Lonchura striata: one gene and its partners. The protein of the gene in region 3 interacts with the protein of the main gene of each other region in a pairwise test. Links are inferred from orthologs where the notes say so. Each region holds a gene or a part of one and is shown on either strand. Other genes may lie near its edges.

Region 1 (7,504 bases), on a different chromosome or scaffold from region 3:
GACTTCAGATTACTAAAGATGCTATATCAAAATTTTCTAAAGCAAATCCATTCTATTCCCTTGTTCTACATTACTTGTACCTTTTCAGAATATTTCTGTGTTTTTATCCAGGAAAACATAGCACATGCTTGGGCTTTTTCTGGGAAAATTCTTGAAAATAAGTGCTCTTCCTTTAAAGGCTTGTCTAAGGTGTGTTAGCTTTTTTTAAGAAAAAATATGATTTGCCTAAAGTTATGCAAACCAGGTTTAAACCAGTCCAGCAGTGGCAAATTAGCAACAACACTGTGGTTAGAAAACAAAACACAAGGTCTCATAAGCATTGGCTTCTACTGTCACGGAAAAAAAGGGTTACAGAAAACTCCCATTACAGATTGTCCACACAGATAAAAATCACTGTAAGTTTAATGATACATACAAAGACTCAGAGTCACAAATTACTGTGCATCCACTGAACTGCAGTAACTGTTCAGGTTGCTGCTCAGAGCCATCAGCAAAGAGGCAATTTATTACAAGTTTCAAAGCTTCACTGAAGACTGACTAAGAACAGGCTAATCAGATAACTCTTGTAACTTAATCTGAGACTTTTCTGTGAATCTGTTAAAATAAATGTAATTAACTTGGGGCATCATACACTGTTGTATAAAATTACAGCAGTGTAAGAAGCAATTAGAACTTACTTTGTGCACCAGTGTATCATTTTTATCAATAAAATAAATAATATTGTCATAATAGTACAGTGTCACACCACTAGCAGAGCCAGAGATGGCAATGAGTTTCACAAACGTTTCAGGTAAACACTGTGTATTTAAAAACACTATACTTAATCAGAAATATGACATCTTTTTGTTGTGTCAAGTAACTTAGTACACAGCAGTAATTATAATAAATGATTCTGGACCAAAAAAAAAAAAAACCACTTAAAATTATAGATATTGGTTTCCTTTGTAAAACATTTTTTTACACTGAACACTTAAATGTTAATTGACAGAATTCAGTCTTGAAATCTTGGTCATCTGGGAGCATGTCTACAATAAACTTACTAAATTTAGTAAGTTCACTTACTAAATTTGCATTTATGCTTCCAGTTTACAACTCCTTTCCAACATGCTAAACTACATTATTAAATTAGCAGATTACTAAACATCAGAAATTTATTAGAGCATTATGCAATTAGCAACATACAGACAAAAAATCTCCATAAATGTCCTTGAATCTCTTATCAAAAGACAACAGAACATCACGTAAGAAAACAAAAAGTGCCATCTTACAGCTGGTATTTCTAAAATGAATGCAATTACAACATCAGACTTAACAGGGTGTATTTCAGGAAGTGAGTATTACCCTCCACACATCTGACGTTTAGACAACACTTGTCATTCCTGTATCCTCAACAACCTCATTTAATATGTAACCATTTTTCTCCCTTTACAGAGGGAGCAACAGGAATTAGGGTGAGGCACGCTGTAGAAGGTCATTTACCAGGCCAGAGACAGCAACACAGCACAGCTCTGCCAAGTCCCTTTACAGCGTGCCTCTTTCCCGGTTCACAGCTGCCATTTTCCTACTTTTCACACGGTTTTTTAAAGGACACTTCTTAAGAAACTACAGCCTCTATTTTGCAGTTGAGCTTGTAAAAGTTTGTACATTAGAAGAAGAGCATTGCAAAAATGCATTTGACAGATAGAGCTAATAAAACCAAGGCACATCAGACTACCTGCTAAGCTACTGCTAAAAGAACATTCTGTACAGTACGTTCAATTTCTAGATCTCGTTTCATTTCAGTAACTGTGAAAGACACACCAAGGAATGGGGGGAGGAAGGGGGAGTTATGCTTCTAAACTTCAGGAGAATAATTTTTATCCCATACAGTTCAATAATTTGACATTTAAATCCTTTTTGGCTATGCTAAATCCAGCTTATTATGAAAATTAAACAAATTTCACTCATTTTATACACTCTTTCCATGCTGTTCTATTACTAGTGACAAAAAATGTAAGCTGTACTGGACCAAAATGAGATCTAGATGATTCAAATATAAAAACAAAATGGAAAACTATAAATATCCGAGAAAAAGTAGAGAAGTTACTGGTTAAATAAGGAGAGAAAGGGGCCACTGCCACAAAACCTAGAGCTCTTTTCTCCTGCCCCAGTCATAATAAAGCATTACCCACTGAAAGCAGCACAGTGAAAGCGATCCATTCTACCAGAGAAATTTCTGCAGCCCCTGTTTAAGAACCCCTTCGGAGTAGGTATGAATGAATAATTCAGCTGGAAATACCTGTCAGGCAGCAGGATGTTCCATCCTACTGTACCTACAGCAATACCATCCGGCCGAGAAAGCCAGACGGTACCTGTCCCCAGAGCTGACCCCACACCGCAACCTCATTTTACGGAGAGAAAGAGAACCCCACGGGCAGCAGGCGGCTTGGAGCAGGACGTGCCTGTCCCAGTCCCCCTCGTGCGGGGGAATCGCAGGAGCTCAGGGCTGTTGGTCACGGTCCCACGCCGACACGGGGAGGGCCCCGCTGACCGCGCAGCCCGCACGGTGCCATACGTTCCCACGGCGCCCAGCGAATCCGCGGCCTCCCAAGTCCCGGGGGCCGGCATCCCTCCGCCCTTCCCTCGCCTGCCCAGGAAGCGGCGGCATCGCCCCTGACGCCTCCCTGAGGCGCCTCTTCCCCCGCGCCCCGGGCCCGCTGCCTCCCCCCGCGCCCGCCCCGCCCGAGTCCGGGCCTCGCCCCTCACACCTCTGCGCGCCTCGCCTCCATCCCGGCCCGTCCGCCGCCACCTGCCCTCCCCGGCCGCGCTGCCCGGGACCTCGCCGCTCTCAACCTCTGCCCGGGCGGTTCCTCCCTCCGCGCCGCGCCGCGCCGCGCCGCGCACGCACACACCCGGCGGAACGGCTGCTCCCGGCTCCCCGCGCCGCCGCCCGGCCCCGGCGCTGCCCCGGGCTCCGCCGCAGCCGCCTCACCTGCATCGACGCCATGATGGGTCCGCCTCCTCCCCCTCCCCTCCGCGCCGCCGCCGGGCCGGCCCCGCCCCGCGCGCTCCCCGGTCACGTGCCCGTGCCCGCCCGTTGGGCAGCCGCGCGTGCGCGGGGCGCGGGCGGGGCGCGGGCGGGGCGCGGGCGGGGCGCGGGCGGGGCGCGGGCGGCGCGGGCGGCGCGGGCGGGGCGCGGGCGGCCCCGAGGAGCGGGAGGGGCGCGGGCGGCGCGGGCGGCCCCGAGGAGCGGGAGCGGCGCGGGCGGGCGGTGTTTGTTTGCGAGCTGCCGGTCCCGCCGCCGGGGAGGCTGCCCCGGCGCTGCCCGTGCCCTGCTCGCCCTGCGGGAGCGGCGCGATGCCCATCACCGCCACCCGCGGGGCGGGAAGGGGTTGATCCCCAGCCCGCTTCAGTTTGTGAAGGTTTTTAGAGGTCCACGTGCAGTGTTTAAGTCACTCGGTTAAATTCGGACTGCGCCCGCCCGTCGTGTGGGTTTCTCCGGGCTTTCCCTGGTGCGAGTGCCATACAATCGTAGGACCATAGAATGTTAAGGAGCGGGGAGGGACTTAGAAGATCATCTAGATCCGACACCCCCGCCATAGGCAGGGACACCTCCCACCAGGCCAGGCTGCTCAGAGCCCTTCCAGCCTGGCTTCGAACGCTGCCCGGGATGGGGCATCCACGAGCCTCTTCTTCCAGTGCCTCACCACCCTCACAGTAAAGAATTTCCTCCCGATACCTAACCCAAATCCCTCTTCCTTCAGTGTGTGCCATTACTCCATGTCCTGTCACTGGACCCCGCCGCAGGTCGCCCCGGGCCGGCGCCGCGCTCCTTCTGTGCGCTCCCTGGTGCTGCTGTGCCACAGCTCATCTGGCTCTCCTGCACTGCTGTCTGCTCGTGTATGACTCCAAATGAACGTGGGTGTGCTTTAGGTCGGAGCGTTCCTGGGTTCTACGTTTTCATTTCCTGGACTGGAATAATCCCTGTCCTTTGCACCAGGTGATTTTGCCGTACCTGTGTAGGTGAAAATAAACAGGCAGCACTCAGTAGAGTGACTGTGTGCAATCAATAAATTAAACAACTTGTGGAAACACGCTTCGTAAAGCTGTTATTCCTGCTGGAGTATTTCAGACCTAACAGATCCTCAAGATAAACCTACAAAATGTTTATCCAAAAACAACCTATAAAATTTATAATCCCAGTGGTTATGTAAAACTAAGGATTTAATAGAGAAACTGATTTTAGAGGTCATTATAATCCCCGTCTCCCCACTGCTCATGCTGCACATTCCAAAAACACTGAAGCCCCTTCCTCTGCCCCTTCACCCCTCTCCTTTTCTGACAATGTTAAAAAATTCTTGGGTCACCTCTGCTCCAGTGGTAGCCCTGATTTTTTCTTCAGAGATGGACTGAGAAGCAAAAACCAAATTATTGAACAATTGTTTGCAGTTTGTACTACCTTTGAAATCTTCGTTAATTTTAGACCTCTAGAAGGGTTCTGCACCCAAAAGCCAGTCTGCCTTGTTCAACCATATTATTTAGTGTGATGCAAGTACTACCTTTACGTACAAGCTTTACCTTCTGGTAAGTTTTTAATATCCTTAACTTTGAAAATGGGTAACTGGAGGAAAAACAAAACCCCAGCACAACTTAGCATCAGTTTCCAACTTTTATCCAGTATCAACACTGTCATCGCTGTTAAAGTAAGCATACAAACTTTGGGGTTTGCTTAAAAGGCAGAACCCTTTAAGCAGAAGAAGACAGCAGGAGTATCTTTACCCTGTGAGATAGCTGCAGAAGTGAACAAGCCCCATGGCTTTGCAAGATTATGCTGAAGACCAAATCATTATTTGTTGATTTTTGAGTAGGAAAGGAAATTAGGCTACCAAAAGTAATGATGGGAAAAGTATAGTCATGTAAATTGCATCCTATACATTGTCTTGTCTTCCAAATCCAATTCTCATTTATAAATTATGGGCTCCTGATGCTATGCAACCTGACATTGCTCAGCCATGTTTTCCCTGGAAGTCAGTATGTATTACTATATGATTTTTGCAAGACCATTTAGGTTGCAGAGGATTTGTTGCATTAAGCAGACACATAGAGCTGGTAAAGGCTTCTCTTTCCTGCAGTTCTTCAGAATGAACTTAGGCTGTTACAGCACTTAAGTGGAACAGTTACTAGTTGTTGTTTTGCATGATGGAAACATATGTTTATCCTAAAATACATCTCTTAATGCCATATGCCACAAAGACAGCAAGAACATCAAGTTTAAGCAATGGACATGTGTTCAGTTATAAACATGGACATATTGACTATCTGTTTTGATGTACTCACAGCAAGATACAACTGATTTCAAACCATTATACTCAGTTTCTTACGCCTCTTCCAGAAAACCCTGTTGAAGGTCAGAAGATATAAAGCAGCATAAGCTTGTGAATGCCAGAACACTTAACAGACTGCAAGCTGGTTTTGCATGGAAAGATCAGCTTTGTGGTCTTAGGCAAACTGTATTCAGTACAAATATGATTTCTACTCTGTAATAAAGGAAAAGTATCTCTGGATAAAAAGCCATCTTTGCAAAAAAAAAAAAAATGTAAATCACAGCTTTTAACTGCCCTTATGCTCAATAAGTCTTTTTTATCTATCAGAGCTTTTCAATATTAAAAACAAGCTACTTACTAAGTTTTTTACTGAAGTATTCTTTACTGAGATTACTTAATCTATGCTGCAGATCCTGTTCCTGAGGATACTAGGCATGAAAAGCAAGGGCTAGTTTGCCCTGCATATAAATAGAGCATGAGTTAATTACTACCTACTCAATTTTAAGTGAGTATGTAAGTAATTAAAGCATTATGCTGCAGTTGAAACTCGTGGGCAGAATCCCACATCCCCAAATACACTTTGAGTTTATTCTTACAGGACTACCAAAGGTGTCTTTTATAACCATTGTCACATCTTGTTTTTTTTTAAAGTGTCATTAAATGCCTAATATATATGTGAAATATTTTTTTAGCTCCTTGTTGTTGTGGGAATAGGGGAATCTGGAGAATTATCCCTGTGTTTTATTGGGTTTTCCCCCTTTCCTCATTTCCTGGTAACCTTGCTTGCAGAGATGTTTTTGTACAATGCATAATGCTATAGGGATTAAGGAATCAGTCCCCTAAGCACAGTAAGAAAAGAAACACTATTATCAGACTCCCAGAAAGAATATATGAATATTAGTATCTTAAATTATCCTGTAATCCCACTAAGGAAAGGCCCTAATTCCCAGAGAGGGTAGATTTCACTAGGAGTAAGTTATTGTAATTTGGTTTTCATTTCAGTTTTGACCTTTACCTATGCAAAACATAGAAGAAAACATTTCTGTAGTTAACCCTTCCTAATCTGTTGCAGGTATAGAGATGGAAAGCACAATAACTGGTTTCTTAAAAGGATTGCTTTAGTATTTAGCTAATGCAGTCTGATCTTTCACCAGTCAACCCAAGTTTTGCCAGAGATTTCAAGGATCAGAGCTCTGGGTCCCAAATATTCAAAGCTTATGGGGTAAGAGAAATTTAATCTGTTATCTTAATTATTTCAGAGGCTATCTTACACTGATCTGATCAAATACATTATGACTCACATATCAAAAACATATGGAGCAAATAATGAAATTGTACCTCCTACTAATTTTTTTTTTGGTAAATATTATTGAAGTTGACCTAAAAATCCATTTTTCTTCAAAGTTTCCAAAACCCTATACTTACAGGAAAAATGCAACTAATGTTCAAACTGCATTTATTAGATAATTTTCTGATATACCAAGACAGTTTCAAAGAAGTAAAATATAATTCTTAATTAGGGTCCCTGTAATTTTACATTCTATTCCCATGTTGTCCATAATGTTTTCAAATATCACCAAACATTTTTCCCTCTGTTCTCACCCTTTTTATTTTTTCTGTATAATTTTTCTACACACTGAACTGTCACTACCATCTCCTTTATGAGTCCTGGTTCTAAAATGACACGAGAGATCAATTTCTTTTGCCTGTGTCCACTGTACTTTTTAGCTTTTCATCTTGTCTCCTTACACAGAAGTAAACTGTACATTGATGTTAACTCCCCTCATTACTTGAGTGGCATGACACTTGTAATCTGCAGTGCCAGGAGACTGCATCTCCTGAGCATGGAGAACTCCCTGCCCCTCAGGGGAATTGTGCCAACTGCTTCTTCTACTCCTACCTGCCAATTTAGGAAGGGCACTGAGTTTAAAAACTCTGTGGAATTAAGATCTTTGTATAAACAAGCTTGGTGCACCTGCAGATACCTTCAACTAAAGATGCAGAATCAAATCAATAGAATATTATATCAAGAATATAAAAGTAATACATTGCACACATAGCTAAAAATTAGAATAGCTTATTAAAACTAAATTCAAATGCAAGAGAACTTTTAGCTGTTGAGATTTTATTGTTGATTTATTCCTTAGTGATTACGTAGGTTTTTCATCAATAGTGTATTTAATTTTCATCTTAGTTCTCAA
Region 2 (7,957 bases), on a different chromosome or scaffold from region 3:
GGGGGAGGGGGGGAGGCACTGGTGGAGTGGGTAATAATCAACTTTCCACCTTCCAAGCGGAAGTTGTTTCCAGGTATGTCAATGGCATTATTAAATTGCAGTCTTAGTCATCTACACTCTGGACTTTCAATAGCAATCAGCCAGGCTTATTAGCCTACCTGTGCACACCTCTAGCTTCTCTAACCTCTCCAGCACTCCTTGGCAGCCAGCACCTACTTTCAGTTCACTCACCCAGGCCTATATACAACTCTCTAAGCCTATTACTCAACACATTCAAAGGCAATAAAGACCTAAAGAATTGTTTTAATTTGCATTCACCCACTATTCCATTCATATTTTAGATTCCATTTTGACTTGGAAATGAAGGGATGAGTAACAGCAATTCCTATTCCACAAACCTGCCACTATTTAACAGCCACAGAACATCATGCACTTAAATGAGATAACACAACTTCCTCCCTTCTCACCCTCAAAAAATACCTACTCATTCTTTAACTGAACAGAATACTGAAACTTATATCCCCTTTACCTCTCTTTCCTTCCTCCTCTTCAATCATTTTAAAGAGGACATAAGCATGGCTCTATTAGGACAGCCAAATACACACCAAAACACATACCCTAAAAATCCCAAAATACTCCAGTACATTCATAGTGAAAAAAAACCTTAAAAATCAGCAATTATGATTCTTGTCATCACACTAATCTATATGTGCTTTATTACATAAAGGTGAATATTAGAACTAATGATCCTAATTTCCTGGTTTTCCTTTAATTTCCGATACAAAAATCAAATACGAAAGTTTGAAAAACAAAGTGTTAAAGGACAAAATAAATTTTCCACACAATTCTCCCCAAAACATTTAACACTCTTTCAGGTAATACATCTTTCTCCTGAAATGTCTTGCCAATTAGCTCCTATAATCCTATTTTCCCATTTTTATCCATATTCTCTTTTGTTGCAGCTACAGGAAAGCAATGGGAAAACTCACTGTCTATACTGTTGAAAGCTACAAAAACAACCCACTGTCAAATAGAGAAATTGAACCAAAAGCTATTTCTCCATACAGATGTGCCACTGCTTCAAAGAAAGTATGATAAAAATATCTATTATATATCATTTGACTACAACAAAGCTAAAACATCAGGATAATTGTCAGATATGGAATGGTAGAGGCGGATTAGGAGATCTAGAACAAAGTACTTAACATAAAGATTATTAAAAGCGTCCCTCATTTTGCAACAGTCTAGGCCAGCCTTTCTGTAAAGTATATATAATTTACATTAACAAGACAGGCTCATCAGTACAAGGCAAGATGTCAATTCGTGTTAAATAGCAATTGTATTACTAAAACTACGACTTAATGAAAAGCTTCTGTCAAATTCTGTAACCTTAAGCTCTCACGTGAAGATTTAAAAGGGTCCTATGGCTCCAATGCCGTTCTTCATTTCACGCTTTTCTCTCTTCCTTTCCCACACGCTCAGATGTTTCAGCAGCATACTTTCAGCATTTGCAAAATCCTGCCCAAAGAGCGTGGCCGATTTCCCACGGGCTCCCTCCCCACCCTGGATGAACTCGTTACTTCCCAAAGTCCACTTCCTCTTCCAGCCCTGGACCTGCCAGCGCTCCCAACGCCCCTCCGCCTTGCGCAACATCCGCGGCCTCCTCCCCACATTTCGGACAATCTCCGATGCGACACTGACATTGAGATTTTTTTTTTTTTTGTTCCCAGACCACTAGCACAGACTGACAGCTTAAAGGGCTAACGATGTGCTTTTAACCCCAAAGAGCCACGCATAATAAAACGAGCTACAAAGACAGATACGGAAGGCATTAACCCGCTCTCCTTCAGCTCTTCTGTGGGTCAAACTGCATTTTAATAGTAAGCATTTAAATTATATTTAAAAGTGCCAGCAACATCTGCCCAATCAAAATTATTGTTCACAGCTCCGACGACCAATTCAAAAGATAAAACTCCCGAGATATTGTAACAGCCCGATTAAACAGCTAAAATAAACCAGGAAAAGCACTAATTCTCCAACAGAATTTTTCCCCGAGAGCACACGTTAAGCAAAGGCTGACGAACTGATCTGGAAGGAAGAAAGGACGAGGGATACAGGCAGGGCTGCGATGGGGGATGGGAGACGTTAGCGAAGGGAAAATGAATATTCCTCCAAGGACTATCAATACGTTTAACACATCTCCTCGGAAAGAAGAGAAATCACAAGCAGGCAGCTACAGGAGCAGATAAAAGGGGAAGGAGGGAAGGAGTGCCCGATTATTCCCAGCTGACATCACAGACGGCAACCCTGCAGAAAAGGGGCTGCCAGGGCGAGGAAGCGCTCGCAGCCCCCCCGCCTCGCCTCTGTCCCCTTTATGTGCTCAGGGAAGCAGCGGGGCGGGCGGACGAGGAGCCCCCGGTTAATTGTGCGAGAGCCGCTGACCACCGGCTCCCCGGGAGCGGGGAAGGGCCGCGGTGACAAACCTCCCGGGGCTGGAGGGCAGGAAGGAGGCTGAATCCCGGCGGACACTCTCCCTCCCCCGCCGAGCTCGGAAGCGGCGGCGGGCACCGGGAGCCGGCCGAGCCCCGGGGCACACAATAGCAGCTCAGCCCCAGGGATGCGCCGCCCGCCCGCCCGACACCCGCTCGCCGGCGGGGGATGGGGAAGGGGCTGCGGGGCACCCCCCGCCCCGGGGCCGGCAGAGCCCCGCCCGCGCCGCCGCCCCTCACCATGAAGTCGCTGGCGAAGTTGTCCTCCCCATTGTGGTCCGTGTCCTTCATGGCCTGGACGCGCTTAATGAATTTCCTCAGGATCTCCTCCTGGCTCATCCTGCCCCGCCGACCGCCCTGCGGAGCGGGAGCCCAGCCGCCCGTCCGCTCTCCGCCCGGAGCCCCCTCCGCCGCACGACCCGTCACCCGGCTGCCTTCCTTGCCCTCGCTGCCTCGCCTCTCCCGCGCCCGGGCCTGCCCGCGGCCTGCTGGCCCCGCTCTGGCTCCGCTCCCGCCCCGCTCACGGCCGCCCGGCCGCCCGCTCCATCCTCCCCTCCCTGCGCCCGACCCTCCCCGGAGCCGCGACACGGACACGACACGGCCCCGCCTCCCCCCGCCCCGCGCACGCGCGGCGCCCGCCCCGCCCCGCCCTTTCCCCTCTGCCCCGCCCCGACCCGGCAGCGCTCCGCGCCCATTGGCTCTCCCGACCGCCGCCTCGCCCTATTGGCGGAAGGGCACGCCAATCACTGGCCGGCCGGGCTTCGAGGGAGCGCTCGCTGGGCTCCACGCCTCGCCCTCTCCCCCGGCCCCCCCCCGTTTCCCATGGATGGGATCGCCCGAAGGGCGCCTCATGGAGCGCTGGAAGGGACCACTTGGCGCGCGGGGGAGGCTGAGCGGAGCGCGGTTTCCCCTGGCCGGGGCACAATGGGCGGCGGTGGGTGCCCGCGGCGCCGCGCCGGGAGGCAGCGGCATGTCGGGGCATGTAGTCGCGACAGCGCCGCGTCCCGGAGCTGGGAGCTCACGCAGCATCCTACCGAAACGCCCGGATCAGACGGGTCCCGCCCCGGGTGGGAAGCCCGCAGCCGTGGGAAGTGCCGGGGGTCCGTGCCGCGAGGCGCGGCGGCGGTGGACGCCGAGCAGCGGGAAGATGGCGGGGCGGGACAGGGGACGGGCGCGACACCTGGCCAGGGACCGCTCCTCGCGTGTTTGTATGTATGTATATTAAGGGTATATATATGTGTGTGTTTATATTAATTTTTCATATATATATAGATATGTAAGTGTATGCTCTATGAAGTGTACATATATATATATGTGTGGGCGTGTGTGTGCATATATATATATATGTATGTGTGTGCAGATAGATAGACAGAGAGATCTACTTAATAAAAATGTCCTCAGGCGAAGCTGATTCATGGAAGTGCTGCCGGCAGGTGTCTGCGGGCTCCGGGCCGGTGCCGGGCGGGGAGAGGGTCCCGCGCCCCTCGGCACCGCAGCTCAGACACCCCGCGCCTTCCTATTTTAAACATACCCTAAAATCTCTGCCTTACGTGGTGTTGGAGGATTTGGCAACGGTGCTATTTCATTGTTAATGTTATATGGAAAAGTTAAACACCATGTTTGGTGTCCTGATGACACTTATAACTTCTGCTTAAGCAAAGTAAAGCAATTGTAGAGGTGTGTGTATGTATAGCCTTATAGCTTAATAAATATAGCCAAGTGAAGTCGTTCAAAATGTAATTTTATTGATGAAGATCTACACGGCCTTGAGTGATGCTGTTGATCCAGTAAAAGCTTGTCACGCAGGCAGATAAAGATCCAAGCTGAGAAGTATAACCCAGCTAAGTCACTCCTGCCCAATCGCCCGTTCCCTGCCCCGGGAGCGTGCGGCGCTCGCAGTCCCACCAACACAGCCCCTGTCGGACAGGACATCGAACCGGCTCAGGGAACTCACTCAGCTGCAATATAGCTCCATAGAAAATCGGCGTGTTTTCTTCTCTGATCATTCCATTAATCTGGTTTTGTTACCAAAAGAAACCTACAAAAAGCTTGGTCTTTTTGTGTTGGTGTAAGATACTACTGTTTTAGAAGGCTGCCAAAGAACACCAGTTCCACACCAGAATTAGTACAATAGCACATTACCACCCTCAGCCTACCAACTTACTATCCTCCTGATGGAGGCAAGCTTTGAGATAGGAACCTGAACTGTAGCTGCTGATGCATGGACACACATTTCCTTCTCCTGCATCTGCTACAGACACAGCCATCTCTGGCAGAAGGGTAGGCTGGAAAATTGACAGGCTTAGCATTTTAACAAGACTTGCTGCAGACTTCAGCATCTTATTAAGGGGTTGGGTTTTTTAGCTGTTGATGTTCATCAGCTAATATAGAGAAAAGAGACATAAGGACACATGAAGGAGCTGGGAAAGGGCATCAGTTCTGTGCTGCAGTTTAGTGAAGCCTTTAGTGAGCACTCCACACAAACACATCAACTGTCAATGTTCAGTCTCCTCTCCATGTCCTTTGCACCAGCTTCCATAATAAGCTAATCAATTGGCCCCAAAGAGCCACAAGGTTATCTGCCTTTCTTGTTTTAATTCCTCTCCGCCTTTTCCAAACCTCCTTTTCTAAAATACCAAAAAGCAGCATTAAAGGGAAAGACAGAAATTAGAGAGAGACCAGAGACCACAAGGATAGCTGGGTCTTGGATCATCAGATAGTTTCTCTGTGCCATCTTGCTGGATTTCCATCTGCTTAGGAAGGTTGCTGTTTGTTCAGCAGTTGTCCTGGCAAACCTGCTCCCAGTGCCAGATGGCAGGTAACTTCAGAAAAGTGATACTTGAGATTACACAACCAATTAATGAAGTCTTGAATGTTATATGGTTTTCTGCATTTATTCACATAACCAAGTTACAGAAGAGGAAAAGAAATATCATGATGAATCTGTATCGTTATTGCCTGACATGGAAAGGACCCAGTTGTTAGTCTGGCTTAATTCACCATCTGCAACTCAACTGTAACAAAGTGTTGTAAACCAGCAAGTGTAGCTGTGGCCTTTCATTTGGTTTAACTGATAAGAAGGTTATACAGTCTCAGAAGACAAAAAAAGCCCCTGAACTAGGCATGTGTCACTAGCCAGAACAAAGTTATATATGAAACAAAGAAATTAGGAATAGTGTGGAGAACTGTGCCAGGCATTGTCTGCCTGTGTATGTGTACATGTACCTGGGAGAGCTGCAAACCAAACAGCACCAGTTTTATCTCCCACAGCCCTGCAAATGGTGCATGAGGTTGTCTCATGTCTGTGCTATGAACAGACACCTCAAGCCTCAGCAGCAAAAATAGCATTTTAACTCAGACTTTTGATCTGAGGCTCATACTATCTGGGTTAACCCCAGACACCTGACCAGTGCAACATGTGTGCATGAGTGCCTATTTGTGTAACTGTAGGAGCAGGGCGGAAAAACAGACACACAGCATGAATTACTCACCCTATAGATAGAACAGGAAGTTTCAACCCAAATCTGTAGAAGAAAATTCTAGTTTTGTCTTAACAATCCATACAAGTATGGTCCTTGAAGAAAAACAAGTAAATCACCTACAGCTTCTCTGCTATAATCTCATTTTGCCTTGCCGTGCACTGCTCCAGCTGCAGCAGGGAAGGAAGACAGACACTTTTTTCTGTTCCAAGGTGGCTTCTCATGTTCCCACAAGGTAAACATGGTGTAAATTAGTAAATGTGCTTCCTGACCTGCATACCATGGTGCTGCCCAGTCAATGGGTGGGACTACCACACATCCCAGTTTACCAACCTTCAGAGGTTTCCCTCAAGTTGCGATGGGGCACAGGCTCACATCAAAGCTGTTTGGCTTCAGTGCCTCTGTGGCTTGAAGCTGTGTTCAGAACCCAGCACATATCTAGCCAAAAGTATGTTACAGAAAGAAATCAAAGAACTGGGGTGGGAGGGAAGGGTGCAAGAACCCTACAGCTCTGAGTAAGGGCATCACCTCCAGCAGTGTTAATACCTCCTTTGTCCAGCAAAACAAGACCTTGTGTATTCTTGTAATTTTGTGTGACTACATTACAATGATTGCTCACTTTGTCACCGGTTTCTTCTCCCCGCTGCAATAATCTGCAGACCCATGAACTTTCACTATTTGGAGTAATGCAAAAGAACCATAATTCACCATAACACTTTATGTTGTTGTATAATTAATAATGTAATACTGAAATTATTATTAAATTATGATAAATATATCCTATACATGAAAGCTTAATTAATTTCATCTATACTGGGTATCTGAAAAGTTTTTGAAATCAAAATTATTTAGGATAAAAAATAGATGTTAGCATTTATAGATTTCATAATAACACTCCTGAAATATACTTTAAGTGCAGTTAGTTGGAAGTTTCTAAAAATGTGGTGTTTCAATGGAAAATGCTGTTTCTGTAAAAGTTACATTTTCCACAGGAAACAATTTTGGCAATGTTTTTCTGCTTTCCGACAAAAACAATGCACTGTTATACTTACAGATGCAGAAATGTCTTTACCATTGAAGTCAGCACAACTTGGGTTAGGGACTCAGCACATGAAAGAACTGGAGCATGGAGTATAAATGCCAGGAAGCTGTTGAACAGCTCAAGGGTACACATAAAAACTAAGTCCAAGTGAAACATTTGTCTTTGATCTGACAAACTGAAATACAATGTGTCTTTCCATGAATGTCAAAATGTTTCAAGCTGGTTGAAAATAGTTAAATGAAACATTCAGGAATATTAGAATCACATACTTTTTATATACTCTTATCCTCAAACTTTTCAGTATTAGTCACTTTTGTTTCTGAAGATGATAAAAATACTGTATCAAATTTTCTGGCTGATCTTCAGCTACAATTTAACCACTTAGATTATAAGTAACAAACTAAAATACAGCAACCTCCACGGAGTCTCAAAATTCTAATTTTGGAAACAAAAGGCATTGTGGACAATAGATCTAAGTAAGATACACTGTATCCTTTCTATACTACAAAATAATTGAATTTCTGATTTAAATCTGAAACTAATCTTATTTTAAATTAGTCATAAAGATTTGATCAGTGTCTGTATAATATGTTCCATTCATATTCATTAAGTGCCATGTGACTGCTGAATTTCTTGACATTTGCCTCTATTACTCTAAATTCAGCAATGTCAGACTCCTGTAATTACCACTGAAAATACTCCTACTACAATTTAATTTTACCTAGCTTGCTTAATTTTTATTTATTTATTTACCATCTTCTGGGATTCATTGTGTGATATTGCTAAAACCCTTTATATGTGACATTTCTTATGCAGGTAATAAGAATTTTAGACCAGAATTACTGAGTTCCATGATCAGGGCATATTTTGAAATCCTGACTAAGTGTAGCATATGCCCCCTCCCAATACCAACACAGTTTCTGTACACAGAAGAAACTTTGTTCTTG
Region 3 (6,849 bases):
GGTATGGCAAAGCCAGGAAGTGGTGCCAGTACCTTCCTATCTCTTGGCCAGAAATACCTGCATTCCAGGGGCTGCAGCTGCAGTTTTGAGCAGCAGGCTGGAGGGAAACTAAATAGAAGGAAAAGGCAATGACAGAAATTACTAAGGAAAAGCAACAATGAGTGCAAGAACAGAGAATGAATCTCAGAAAGACACTCCGTGACTGAGGGGAAAAGATTTTCTTGGATAGTGTTTTTCATAACAAAACAATTACTGTTGCTCTGCCTGTTAACACAACTCCATTAACATGGAACTCGGCTGATGCCACACAGACACTCCCCCATTAACATAGGAATTTCCCTACCTGTCTTATATGATGCTAGAGAAGACAGGTAACATCTGTCAGGCTCATACAGCAGCCCAGCAGAATATTAATCCATCAGCAACTGCCTTGCACTGGCTATCAAACTCGATCTGAATTTCTATCTCACTAACATTTCCCAAAAAATATTATCAGAGGATAGAGAACTTCTGCTAAGAAGCACATTTTAGTGCAGACTTTGAGCAACTGTCCCTTAAACCATTACAGAGAATGTGGAGTACATATAAATAAAAACTGTAATTAAAAAATACACAGGTTTTTGCTCAGGCCATGCTACAAAGAAAATAAAATTGAACTAAGTGTGGAATAAAATTGAACAAAGTAGTATGGTACTATCACTGCTACATTTATTGGGAAAGAGAGGATAAAACTTAAACCTGTTATGAGGAACAATTTTCCTGGAAGACAGCACATCCTGTTCTATGAAGTCTGGAGAACTTTGGGGAGGGATGAATGGTGCTCTTTCTCTGCTAGCTGAGGGAGATCTCTACATTGAGGTAGGTTCTGAGGAAACCCCTGCTTATCCAAAAGTTTCCTGATGGTGGAGCAGGAAGCTGTTGTTCAGGGACACGGAACACAGGGAGTGGGCGCAGCAATCAGAGATCAGGGCTCTGTGTTGAGGCACCCACCATGGGGCAAACACCTTTTGGGTGTCAATCAGAAAGGCAGTTTCTGTTCAGTGCACAGACCAAATACAGGAGATAAGTGCTCGCTGAAGCAAACCACATGAATACATTTTCCTCTCACAACAGAACCTTATGAATGCAAAAATATTTGCTGATCTTGTGATCTGGGGGGCATGCTGCACACTTGTGCTGTGTTGTGCAATATCCTGTAAGTTTTCACTTTTAAAGACTTACTGTAACAGCTAAAGCTTCTATCCTGCAACCAGATACATTCCTGCCCTCTTAATCAAGCTGGGCAATACATCCAGCCAAAAAAAAAAAGAAATCCAGAGATGCTTTCCTTTAAATAAGGTGTTAGCTTCAAAGCTAAACAAGGGTTTGAGTCATGGCAATGTGACTAAGCACAGAAGAGAAGCTTAGGGAAGAAAAGCCATGAAGAACCAGCCTGGCCAGATCATCAGCTGGCATTAATCACCCTCACACTACCCCCATAGCTTTATTTTCCCTAAAGACCAAGGCATTGAAAAGTAACTATACCAAATGTACCAGCTGTAGAAGTCAGGTGGCTTGTTTTCCAAGGAAGTTCAGCAATGCACAGGCTGAAGCTCCCAGGGTAGCACTGGCCCACAGTTGTGTCCCACCCTGTGCACTGCACTGTGCAGTCAGTGTGTGCACAAAGGAGGAGAATCTCACATAGGTGTGGTCATGCACAGTCAGTCCTAACATCAACACCGACTTTCATATTTCCTCATTGTATTTTTATTCTTTTTAACTGTTCAAATCTAGTACTGCAGTGGGGGTGGGGAGGGCTTCTTGGAAGTGCCTGGAGGATGGTGGTTCACTGAAATGTGTTTTTGTCTCTGCTCTCTGTTTTCTACCAAGAGAGGGTTTACCCTGAAGCGTGGGTGGAGAGAAAGAGACCACAAGGAGAAAGAACAGCCAGGCAATGGCAGGAAGAATTCATATAGTTTCATGTCTTTCTTTAAGTCAGTGCTCAATGCTGGATAAATGATTGCCCAGAAAAGAGGCAACCACATTACATCCTGTTTACTTAACTTTGCAATGTTAGAATTTTGATTTTGAACTTTCATTCTCCAATTGCAAGAGAACCTCAGATTATCATAGAGAAATTACTAAGGTCCTTTTACCTTGTAACTGCAGAGAAAGAGCTTGAAAACAGGAGACCAAAAGGATTTTCAAACAAAAGTCAAATAACAAGTATGGAGCGAATCTCCTCATTTCAGTATTTGCTAGTTTTAGCAAATACTAAACTCAGCTGTGAGTTTGGGCTTAGCTGGGGAGTGGCACTGCTGGTCCTTTCTAACCTGTGCTGCCTCACAGCTCCTGGGCTCTGCATGCCTGGGAATGCTCCTGGCAGCAGGGAGGGAGCCTGGAGAGAGCTGAGCAGGAGCATTTTGCTCACAGCTGCTGGCTCTGCTCTTCCCCAGACAGGAGGGAATTCAGCCTATAATTAGCAACAGCTCACCTGCTCTGGGAGCCACTCACAGAGCTAAGGACACTCACTGCAAGCAGGTTCTTACCACTGTGACACAGACAAATCCATGTCCCTTTCAAAAGAGGTTTCTGGCCCTAGTACAGGATCTGGGAATGTCAGTGGTTTCATGGAGACTGGATATATTCTTTACACTGCATCCTTCTGCCCAGGATCAAACACTTACATTACCAAACACTATGTTTTTGCTGGAGACAAATTTGGATTTTCACTAAATTAAATTGAGAACACAGAACAACATTAAATTAGTTTTAAACTATATACAGAACCAAGCTGTATTTTAAAAGATTTTAAAACACAGGTACATTGAATATAGGAAACACATAGTAAATGCTCACTTACCCAAAAAGCATCTTTAAACTGCAGCTGGGCCATTATTATTGCTCTGCAGAGGGGTAGGAATGCTTCAGCTAGTCCGTTGTGGAGTGAGAGCAGCAGCAGGCACAGCTCTGAGCCTTGTCACTGCACCCCAGCCCAAGCAGAGAGTGCAGCACATCCACAGACCTGTCCCTCCTGAAGTCAGGCTGGTGCCAATAGCATGGGGCTGTTCCAGGCAGCTCAGAGAAATGACCTGTGGCTGTGAGGGACAGAGGGCAAAAGAGCTGTTGCTCACAAACAGAGACAGGCAAGTGCTCAGCACCCGCACCCCAAACCTGTTTCTCTTCTGGTAAACAGTTAATATTGAAATGAGGAAGCAAAGAGATGTCAAATGGTGTCAGGCTGCTCCTTGCCATGGGTGTGTGTGAGCGGACAGGAAAAAAATAGAGGGGGAAAAAAAAAGGCACTAAGTTCAGTGATATGATTTGATCAGCTGAAGGAAGAGAGAAAACAATTACAGTGCAAAAGAAACCACCACAATACATAGAGACAAGCTATTCTCTATTGCTGTGGTCTTGCAAAGAAAAAGAAGCTAAAGAAACATAAGTGCCCCATTTCTGCAGCACCTTCTGGGACTGGCAGAGGCCCACGCCTTTGCACACAGGAAACTTAGCTCAAAGCTGCATTTTGCATCTGGAAAGGCTTTTCAGGACTCAGGTTAAATTAAGAAGCCTGAGAAGTGTGCAGGTGTCTGCACACATTTAGATACCTGGATGTTGATGTAGAGAACACGCCTGATTTGCATGCCCTCACATAAATGTTTATATGAATATGTAAGGCATGTGAAATTTAGAAGTAAAATCCAAAGTCCTCAAAAAGAAGAGCTAAGAATCTGTTAGCACCAGGACCTGAGTGAACCCTCACAGACCAGTGAAGCAGCAGCACTCAGCAGCACACTGCTGACACCAAGTATTTCAGGCAGCTCCCCAAATCAGCTCCTCCAGTTGTTATAACACAGCTGCAAATACCTGAGCACAGAGTAACACTTCTAAAGCTTTCCTGAAACCCTCTCCAAAGCACCTGTCCTCCAGGTGAGGTTGCCTCTGTTCACCTTTTTAGGATGTTTTAAGCATTCTTAAATACCTAGTTTTAAAAATTCACTTGCATTTTTGGGGAGAGAGGGGAGGGGAGGGGAGGGGAGGGGAGGGGAGGGGAGGGGAGGGGAGGGGAGGAGAGGAGAGGAGAGGAGAGGAGAGGAGAGGAGAGGAGAGGAGAGGAGAGGAGAGGAGAGGAGAGGAGAGGAGAGGAGAGGAGAGGAGAGGAGAGGAGAGGAGAGGAGAGGAGAGGAGAGGAGAGGAGAGGAGAGGAGAGGAGAGGAGAGGAGAGGAGAGGAGAGGAGAGGAAAAAGGAAAGTAGTCCTGTGGTGGTTGCCTCTGTGAAAGCTGTCTGTGCACACCAACAACACATCAGGACTTACTGGTTTCCAACTGCCTGTCTGACACTGCTCTGGGTACTGTTGTCCTGCTGCCCTCCAGCAGCAGCCCCCGGGCAGATCATTCCGGGGTGGGGAAGTCTTGCAACTTCCCTGTGCTCCAGCAGGACTCGGGGCTCTGCTCAGAGAGCTCTGCAGCAGCTGGGGGCTGCAGTTACCCCTACTCACTCTGTGGTCAATTTGTAGCTGGTGTTTAAAAGAATTTGCCAGGTTCCTTCCTGGTGGTATGAAGAAGACAGGAATATGCAGGGACTCTGTGAGAGAAAATGAAGTGCAAGCAGAGGAGAGCAGACGAGAGTCTGGAAGGTCAGAGATGTAGCAGGAAGAAAGCATCATTGCATGAGAGTGGGAGGAGAAATGCAAGGATTCACTTGCAGACAATGTTGAGGAGAAAGGAGTGAAACTTTCTTCCAGAAGGGAAAATTCCTTGAAAAAATGTATTTTGAGGGCATGGACACTAGTCATACTTGATCTGTATCCAAAAAGAAAATGATCTTTTTTGAAGTGTTTTATCTCAGTCCTTCCAAACCTAAATGTTTCCTGTTACTATTTCCAAGTTACAGCTGTGTTTTGAAACCATCTTTGCTGCTGTTGGGGTTCATAAAAATGGACCAAGTGTGTTTTAGCCCTCTAAAATGTTATGCTATTTTCTTGTTATTTTTAGTTTGGTTTCCAGCCACAAAGCCTATTATTTGACTGAACCTCAGGCTGGGCTCTATTCCTGCATCCATCCCACCCAAGAGCTCTGGTGTAGCACAGTCACCTCCCAGCAGCTCTCACGCTTCAACGCCATCAGCACTCTGCTGTGGGTGAGCTCCTCAGAACAGCCCAGAGCAGCTCTCCAGTTCGGGAACTTGGATGAGCTGCCAGAGTAGCTGGTGTGAGACCAAGCCCAGCTGTGATGAAGCAGATTTGGGTCAATTTGGGTCTCTGCCCCCAGGTCCCAGTGGCACTGGGTTATATCCATGAGGCACTGTGCCGTGCAGGGCTTTGCAGGGCTTTAGAAGGGGGACACAATTCTGTATCCCCTCTGCTCTACACAGGAACAGGATATCAAGGCTGTGGTGGCTAACAGCTGGCCCAAAGGCCTCAGTTATCCATAATCCCAATCTGATAACCAAAACACAACTAATGACCTTAATTATGGAACTGGGCTGGTGCAGACCACTGGGGAGCAGGCCTAGGCCGGCGAGGACACGAGCAGCTATTGGCCCATCAGGGTTAACCACACAGATCATCAGAGCCACACGGGAGAGCTGCACCTGACCCAAGCTGCCTTGCTGTGTCATCAGCCTTGGTGTGTTTTGTCACGTTCCTGTCTCCAGCATTAAAGGGATTTCAGCCTGACCTGACAGGTTCTCTCAGAAATCCAGCAGTATCAACAAGGAGCCTTAAGTGGAACTCTTCCCTGACAGCCGCTGCATCTCCTTCCATCACTGCTCTTAGAGGTGTAAAATCAGCCATTCTGTTTGGTAACGCCAAGAACACACTTCCTGAGGGTTTTCCCCCAGTAATTAAATTGTTTGGCAGCAGAATGTACCATTTGAATCCATTCTGTAGTAAGAAGGATAAGTCTTGACTTTTTAAAAAAAACACTGTTTTGAAAGCCCTCAAATTTTCTCATTCTTTAGAATGGAAGTTTCATTTAATTTTTAACTATATACTACTTCAAGCAAAGCTTTTTATCAGGGATTTGGGTGGCAAGTTTGGATTTGACAGTAGGCAAAATACAAAAATAGCATCTACAAACATTTTTGTGCTCATCCACGACACCAAGCAAGACATTCTTCAGAGGAAATGTTTTTGATTAAGAAGACAGTAAACCTTTTATTCTACATAGCGAGAGTATGAGGGAGTCCATGGAAAGTATTAAGGCAGAAGACAAAGAAATGCTGAATACTCAGATAATCCCAACGTTGAGCTGGTTGTACTGTTCAGAAGTCCTCAGGCATATTGTGATCCCTTAGAATGGTAGTTTGGCAAATGCCAGTGGAGACTGGAAGGCACTGGTGCAGTCCTTCCCAGCCTCCAGAATCGTTACATCTGAGACACAGCTTCAAACAACGGCTGCAGTGCAGCCATGTCCAAACTCCAACAGCTCCTGGTGTCCAACTGAGCCCCACAGCCTGGGGACAGAGCAGCAAGGAAACCACTGCCAGAGCAAAACCATGGCTAAAACAGACATGATTCAGCAGCTGAGCTCTGCCCACTGTTCTAATTCCATATGAATGGATCTCTGCATTTCCATGTAGGAAATGTCAGGGGCTTGCAAATTATCCCAAATCATACCCATTAAAAATGTTGAAATCACCTTGCCTTCTGTGAGGAGCCAGTCTGTGTTCCCATGGAAACTGAAACTGCAGCCTCTGAACACCTGGCTTGGTTTGTTCCAGCTGCTCTGGACCATTGTGGCTGCAGCTAGAGGCTGCTTCAGCACGGCCCAGACTGCACACCAGGCTCTGCTCAGCCCTGAAACTCAGCTCCCTCTGCTCCTGTTAGAGGGAACTGCTCGAACAGCCTTCCAAAAGCAGCCTCACAG
Region 4 (7,436 bases), on a different chromosome or scaffold from region 3:
CTGTACTCCAAGGGGTACATATCAACCACACTTATAAAATATTTACAGGTTTATCTCACTTTGAACAGATTTCTTCATTATAATGTTTAGAGCTGAAAAGGGTGAAGAACACAGAATTTTAAGCCAATTCTCAATCATCTAAGGATAAGATCTGCAGAATTGTAAGTCCTGGAATTTGACAAACATTGCTTGTTAATTTTAAGATCACTGGTGGCTAAATAAAAATACCCAAGGACTAATAGAGACGCTGAGATGCTTTTAAAAGGAATTTTAAACTTATCTGTCTTCTCTGGTTTACAAGTATAGCTAAAATAATTAGCAAAGTATTTTGTCTTTTTTCTCCTCAAAATCCTAATTATGATTTTATACATTTATATAAAATACTCAAAGCCCAGCAGGCACACACATTCCTGACAACTTCAACTACACTCAAGTTACTAAAATGTGGAAAGGGCTTCTGGCCAGACAACAGTCCACTTTTGAAGATTTCAACTTCTCTTAATCCGTAGGCTCTTAATATTTTGAAAATTGAGCTTATTGGCAACAGGCTGTTTTTCTTCATTAACTTTGGGAGACACTGAGCAAAAATCCCAGAGTTCCAGAGTTCACAAACAGAAAGCCACTAACTGATGCATGTCTGGACCCCAAGGAAGCATCCAAATGAGGGCAGGACCGCTGTAATTGATGCCCAGTTTTGTAGTCTCCATAGACTCAGTCAAGATTTTTGCCCCTTGAACATTCTGTTCCTCTTAAATGACATCTGCAAGTCCGAAGCTGAAGCATATTTGGAATGCAGCATGTGGGAAGCTGTAAGCCTTGTACACTGTGTGATTAGTGTACAAAAGTGCAAAGTCCATTGGTCTCAGAGATTCTAAAATACATACTTCCATAAGAAACAAATTTCCTTCACAATATTTTAAAAGCTTACATTAGAATTATTTTTACCTGAATGTTTCTACACTAATAATTTCATGGTAAGTCTCCAAATAGACTTTCCCAAATAAGAGAGAAGGTCTAGCACTCACCAAAACCATGAAACAGCAATATCAAGCTTATCATTTTCTAAAGCATTAAGACAGTTGTGCCATGTCTACCTGAAGCCAAATTTTAAAATGAAGTTGAGCAATTTCAGTTGCAGCCAGTTCCAGTCAAAGGAAGTCTAACACAACACAGTATTTGCAAGTGAGAGCCTGTAGATGGCCTAAATCCAAGATCTCTTCTGTCTATCCATCATCGTGTATCCCACAGCACACTTACAAAACAATATGCATTAATTTTTTACTGGTAATATTCGACTCTGTCCCTCAGAAATAAAAGACTTCCAATATCTTTATGTGTATTTTTCACATTGCTCAATAGTAAAGGCATTTCACCCCTAGGGGGAAAAATGGTCAAAAAAACCTGCAGCCCACCAGTTCTCAGGTACAGCTTTGTTAAGCTTTACCTGTAGGATCTTCATTGCCATGAAGTGCCAGTTATTATCTATCACATTAACCTTTTCTATAAAATCCACTGTTCGGACAACTGACAATTATTTTACCAAATAAGAGTTCTAGTAACCAGATTTGTGACTTCTGGATAATTTTACTATTTTTGTCTCAGAAAAAGAAGAACCTTCCTAAGAATACAGACATTTGTCTTCCTCCAATTTATTACAATGCTGATGAACACTCCAGAAAAACAAACCCCTCTAAAAACAACAAGCCTTACAGATCTATTTTAAAACTATGTACTTTTCTTTAGGTTCATGTATTCTAGTTTTCTTACCTTAACCATGGGGACCGAGAAAGCTAAAGAAATGTTTGTTTCTTTAATAAACTGGGATGGGAGGGAAGCAGCAATCCCATGAATTGCCATTATTTTTAGCCTGTTTCTGGGGGACACCCATAAAAGCACATGAGACAAGTTTCTCAGCAGAAAGAAATTATGCCAGTAGAACTGTTATCAGAAGAGCAGCATTACTTCCTGTAGTGTCAACTCTGTCAAGCTTAAAGGTTTACTGTGCGGGGAAATTTACACATATCTGGACATAATTTCCTTAAAAATTGTTTTCAGAACTGCGAGTCAAACCGAGGCCTTTCAAGTCTGCATAAAGAAGTAAACTGATGTTCCATAGCATATTTGGTGGATCCAAGCAATTACAGGACCATTTCTAACTCTTACTGTTGTTTTTCATTCTCCTTAAATTACCACATGTAACAATGTATGCAATAAAAAAAGTATGGTTTCTCTTCTACACTGTGCTCATTATCGTTTCCCTACCCAAAAATTAGGTTTCTCCCTTTACTTGCTTTACTTCTTCCTATCCAAATAGAGGCACAAAAATAGATTTTCCTGGGTTTTTTTGTAGTCACACCAATTCTGCCAAAACCTGTTTCCTCTGCCTGCCAGTACACTCAAATTTAATTTCGGATAATTTCGATTTTGAGCTACTTAAGTGCCAGAAGCATAAAGTCTTTCCAAAACCGCTTCTCCATAGTTCACAGCTGTTTTTCCTATTACATCAGTTGAGTTCATTTCAGAGTTCATTCCTCCTTTTGTTCTTGCAAAGGCCCACCGAGAGTGACACTAAATACCCAGAGAGGCTCACGAGGAGGAGCAGAGGGGCTGAATAACACCGCGAAAACGCTTCACAGCGGCACCCAGAAACCAGGAGGGGACCGAGACACCATAAAACCGCTTTAATCTACAAGTATTCGGACGATGCACACCAACACATAAAACACACCCGCCCATAAAGCAGCGGCACGGCTGTCGCCCGCCGGCGGGACGCGGATGTTACCGGGGCAGCGCCGATCCGCGTGGCCGCCGCCGCGCGGCTCCGCCCGCCCGGGCCCCGCTGCGGCCGCTCATCCCGGCGCCGGGCGCTGCTGCCACGCGAGGCAGCCCCCGCCCAGCCCCGCTGGGCCCGGGCACGCCGCCGCCGCCGCCGGCCCCGCTCACCTGTGGGCGGCGGGCCCGCCGGGTCCCCCCGCTGCGTCCATCGCGGCCCCGCCGTTGCTATGGGCCCCCGCCCGCCGCTGTCCTTAGCAACGCCGCGCGGCACTGAGGCGCGCCGCCATTGGCCGGGGCCGCGAGCACGCCGCCCGCCGATTGGCCGCGGCGCCGCGCACGCGCGGCGGGGCGCAACGGCCGCCCCCGTCGCCCGCCGCGGGAGCCGCCCCCGCCGGCAGCGGGGAGCGGGGAGCAGCCCCGGCGGGAGCCGCGGGACACAGAGCCCTTGCCACACACTGCCCCAGGAGAGACCGCCCCGCATACCCCCCACCCCCTCCCCCGTCGCCAAGAGCCGCCCCCGCGGCCCGGCTGAAATCGCGTCCCTCTTCAGCGCCCTAAGGGACACCATCTGTTCGGGCGTGTCCTCGCACGCAGCTCCCGCCGGGTCAGCTGTGGGCCTGTCTCCTCGAGAGCTCGAGGTTTGCCTTCACCAGGATGTCCGCAGCGCTCAGCTTGCCTTGCTCCCGCAGGTAGCTCATGACGTGCGGCCGCCGTCTCCAGGTGACCTTTACTCCGTACTCGTGCTCGGGGGTATCCGTGACCAGTACTGCTGCCGCCTCCCCTCTCCCGCACGGATCAACACCAAATGGCAGCTCTTCTTCTGGATGCCAGGCATGACTACTTGGTGATAGAGTGCTGCTGCATCTCCCGTTCCTTGGGGAAGGAGCCTGTACAGCCTCTGCATCTGAGGGACTAAGGACATCTTGCTCCACAGGCTGGGGAACAAGCTCTCCACAGTTCTCTGGGCTCTTCACCTGGATGTTGGCATTTGCCGCTGTCCCTTTCCTAGGCTGGGTGGGAGAGCATTGTGCATTCTTTATCAAGCAATTTGGATCATCCAAGAGAGGGACTGCATGTCCTTCTGGATTCTCAAAAGTTAAAGGAGGAAATCTGCAGGCTACAGCTCCTCGGCAAGCTCCTCCTGCATGAAATGAACTGTGGTTAGCATCCTGATTATAGGGCTTCTGAGGACCACGATGCTTCTTCTGGCGTGCTTTCAACACCACCGCCTTAGTTGTGTCAAATTGTGGGCATACCTGAAGGGAAAGACATAATAATAAGATAAAAACCCAACCCTTTCCTCCAGACAAATAATACCTACCTGATTCTATTCCCCACCTTTTTTCAGTGTGTTCGTTGAGTAATCTGTTCTGCAGCAAAGCAAATGAGTCACTAACAAAGCTGCTATGCATGAGAAACCTCTGAACTTCAGCATCGTGTTCTGCCACTTTTCTCTGGAAAGTCATTAGGGTGGCAAAAGTGAGCTGTTCTCCGGCAGCTCACAAAGAGCTTGAGATCTGGGTTTTAAAGGAAATCTAATGATGTCTACTCCTGTAACCCCTGAGGATTTAAGAAAGTTCAGAATGGATCCTTTTTCTTTCTGACCTAGCATAACTCAAATAGCTTCAAAGAACTAAATCCTCAGCCTCCCCCAAAGAAGTAGAGGCTGAACTGGGAGAGCAACACAAAATGATTGAAGAATGCCCGCTTAGCTCAATCCCCTTAGATTATGTTAATAGGGTGTTCAAAATCTTCCCCCCAAACATCTTTGTTTCAAAACATAGTTAATTTCTGTATTGTGGAGTAACAGATCACCCAAAATCCACTTCTACAATCAGCTTCCTATAGAAGAGATGGTCCAAGCTCAACAGTCTGTATTTCTGTGAATGATTCTGGACTCATTCTCAAACCCTGAAAATCCTTTCATTACAGTGTTTGTCTTCCTGGTTACCAACAAAAGAGTCAGACTCTGTTTCAGATTCCAGTTTGCTTTTCCCAAGAGCACACCAATCTGAGTTCTTGCTATGGTAACTACAGATCTCCTTCAGCATTCCTAGGTTACAATATAGTTCCTCAAAACACTGAGTGCAATTTAACTAAGGATGGTGATTGTCTAATGTACAGCTGAACTGTTTGACTCCAAAGCCATTTTGCAGGAAAAGAGAAATGATTCTTTAATAATTGTATACTAGCACATACTTAACATAATCCCTGATTTTAAGGATATGGCTTCCGGCTTCAGAGAACATGTAGGGTAGGTTTTACCTATGCAGGAACCTAGTAGTGAAAAAGGTATGAAAAACTTAGATAATGCCAAAAAGAGAGGAGCAGAAAATCAGTTTCCATTGAAACAAGTTGACAGACATTCCGCAGAGGATGCCTCCAGAAGTTACAAACCTATCACAGTTACCAAACTGAGAAATATTTAACAGTTTCAGTACTGATAGCTTCAAACAAATTTTAGAATATTTTAGGAATCAAAGAGCTACCAGAGTGGATGCTTCCACCTCTTCCAAACAAAATGAATGCTTATTCACAGCAGTTATTTCACTTAGTGATTCACAAACTGTAGAGCTAACTGCCTCAAGCAGATACAAAAAAAATTTAAAGAGGAAAAAATTGAAGATGTTCTACTTCAAGGTTAAGGCATTACAAAAATACCTGCAGGTCAACAGGAACAAAGGAATGTTTCATACAGTTTTGAAACCACTCTTCCTGAGTTTGCTTTGTGAAGAGCAGTCAAGCAGCAATAATGTTTAAACAGAGCTCCCCTAGGTGATGACTACTGTTGTATAGGAACAGTCTGTCTTTGCTGCAGCTGTTTGCTTAAAAAAACTAAAGCTTTATATTACATGATATAAAGAGTATTCTAGGACATGGCAAACAGTCCCAAGAAAATGAACCTATCAGAAGATTGGTATGGAGAGACACTACTCAAAAAACATAAATGGAAAAGAGAGCAGGTTAGAACAAATGATTCTGAAGTAAAAACCTATGTTCTCTAAATTTAGCAGTTTCAGATTTAAACAATACACTCAATACTTTAACATCGAACATTTAGAGTTCAGCAGTTATTTTAAACAGCAAGCCAATAAGAAAGGACTCCCCTAATGATTATTTTGTGCAGGGGTTTTGGTTGCTAAGGAAAACAGTGTTTTCCTGATGCGAATAATTTTTCTAGAAGACAAATATTCATTAATCAGTACACACTGCAGACAGTTTATGTCTTCAAGTAACCAAGACCTTAGTGCTTATTCTTAGAATGTCAAGCAACTCAAGCACTTATTTATGCTTTAGACTGATAGAAGGAATTCAGGTCTGGGCTACTAACTTTCCATATCCAGAACAGATAACTTTCTTTTAAGACAGGAGAAACAGGAGAAACTTGAAAACTGTTGGTGTGGGACGCAGGAGGAAAGATAATTTGTACCAACCCAGGCAGCAGAGGTGTTCAGGTCTACAGGTTTTGTAGGCACACGTCTGGGATTCTCAGCCAAATGCAGTGGAGCTTCATAACAATGGATGGGTCCTGCCCGTGGTTTCTCAAGGAAAATCAGCTCTGCCTTCCTGGCCTTGTGGGTACACTTCTTCTTTGGAGGCATCAAAAGGTGTGGTAAAACTACTTAGAAACCTCATGATGCTTGTTGGAGCCAATTGAAGAAAGATGGAAGCACCCTGAGGAGATGCGAAAGTGCTCTCAAATCTGTAGAAGCAAATAAATGGATTTGAAGACAGACTCATTTGGAAACCTCAGATGCAGTTTTTAACAAAAGCAAAACATTTATGCAACAGCACAGTGTATACATCTTGAGGCAGACTTTTTCCCAATAGTGGTTCTTGGGCCTTTTGTTAATTTTCAGGTAGATTTAGAAATGCACTGCAGGAAGGGAAGCTGTTGACCTACTGATACAGCTATGAAAAGAACAAGTCAGCTATGAAAAGAACAAAAAAGCCAAAAAATTTATTTTCTTTTTTTCAATTCAGTCTTGTTTGTAATGCCAAGAAGATATTGTAAGGCTAAGATAATCAGAACTCTTTCCCTTTCTGGTTGCTAACTACCTGTGTGTTTTTAATTTCAAGGGATTTTAAGTTTGTTTTTTTCTTTTTTACAAAACAGAGTTGACATCTCCCGTATTCTACAGATCTTGCATGATTTGTTTTGCCTAATGAATAAGTTTGAACTGAAGTAACATTGTATTTAATTTTCTATTGGAAAACACAGACTCAATTAGGTTGGAAGACCTCTGAAATCATCAAATTCAACCTATAGCCAAACACCACCATGGCTACTAAACCATGGCCCAAGTGCTACATCTTCAGGGACAGGGACTCTACTTCCCTAGCCCATTCGCCTGTCTTCACCTTTCCTGTGAAGAACTTCTTCCTAATGCCCAACTTAAACCTCCCCTGGTGCAGCTTCGGATGATGTCCCCTTGTTCCATCACTAGGTGCTTGAGAGGTGCTTGAGAGAACATGTAGGGTAGGTTTTACCTATGCAGGAACCTAGTAGTGAAAAAGGTATGAAAAACTTAGATAATGCCAAAAAGAGAGGAGCAGAAAATCAGTTTCCATTGAAACAAGTTGACAGACATTCTGCAGAGGATGCCTCCAGAAGTTACAAACCCCACCTGGCCACAGCCTCCTTTCAAGCCCTTGTAGAG

Evidence for each region.
Region 1: the proteins of PSTPIP1 (region 3) and UBE2W interact in binary tests that used the Homo sapiens proteins (3 or more experiments, as listed by UniProt). The two-hybrid records come from large-scale screens. The link is inferred for Lonchura striata from reciprocal best matches to the Homo sapiens genes PSTPIP1 and UBE2W.
Region 2: the proteins of PSTPIP1 (region 3) and PTPN12 interact in binary tests that used the Homo sapiens proteins (3 or more experiments, as listed by UniProt). The link is inferred for Lonchura striata from reciprocal best matches to the Homo sapiens genes PSTPIP1 and PTPN12.
Region 4: the proteins of PSTPIP1 (region 3) and TULP3 interact in binary tests that used the Homo sapiens proteins (3 or more experiments, as listed by UniProt). The two-hybrid records come from large-scale screens. The link is inferred for Lonchura striata from reciprocal best matches to the Homo sapiens genes PSTPIP1 and TULP3.

What each region holds. Positions count from the first base shown.
Region 1 is NC_134603.1:32,205,252-32,212,755, reverse strand, and holds the start of UBE2W (ubiquitin-conjugating enzyme E2 W), read right to left. Parts: upstream 3,015-7,504; 5' UTR 2,987-3,014; coding exon 2,972-2,986; intron 1-2,971. UniProt on the Homo sapiens protein: Accepts ubiquitin from the E1 complex and catalyzes its covalent attachment to other proteins.
Region 2 is NC_134607.1:61,223,778-61,231,734, reverse strand, and holds the start of PTPN12 (tyrosine-protein phosphatase non-receptor type 12), read right to left. Parts: upstream 3,013-7,957; 5' UTR 2,829-3,012; coding exon 2,730-2,828; intron 1-2,729. UniProt on the Homo sapiens protein: Dephosphorylates a range of proteins, and thereby regulates cellular signaling cascades. Dephosphorylates cellular tyrosine kinases, such as ERBB2 and PTK2B/PYK2, and thereby regulates signaling via ERBB2 and PTK2B/PYK2.
Region 3 is NC_134613.1:4,993,006-4,999,854, reverse strand, and holds the start of PSTPIP1 (proline-serine-threonine phosphatase-interacting protein 1), read right to left. Parts: upstream 3,016-6,849; 5' UTR 2,876-3,015; coding exon 2,843-2,875; intron 1-2,842. UniProt on the Homo sapiens protein: Involved in regulation of the actin cytoskeleton. May regulate WAS actin-bundling activity. Bridges the interaction between ABL1 and PTPN18 leading to ABL1 dephosphorylation.
Region 4 is NC_134604.1:31,058,202-31,065,637, forward strand, and holds the start of TULP3 (tubby-related protein 3), read right to left. Parts: upstream 3,018-7,436; 5' UTR 2,985-3,017; coding exon 2,944-2,984; intron 1-2,943. Other genes in the region: RHNO1 (RAD9, HUS1, RAD1-interacting nuclear orphan protein 1), read right to left, coding at 3,381-4,031, 6,210-6,377. UniProt on the Homo sapiens protein: Negative regulator of the Shh signaling transduction pathway: recruited to primary cilia via association with the IFT complex A (IFT-A) and is required for recruitment of G protein-coupled receptor GPR161 to cilia, a promoter of PKA-dependent basal repression machinery in Shh signaling.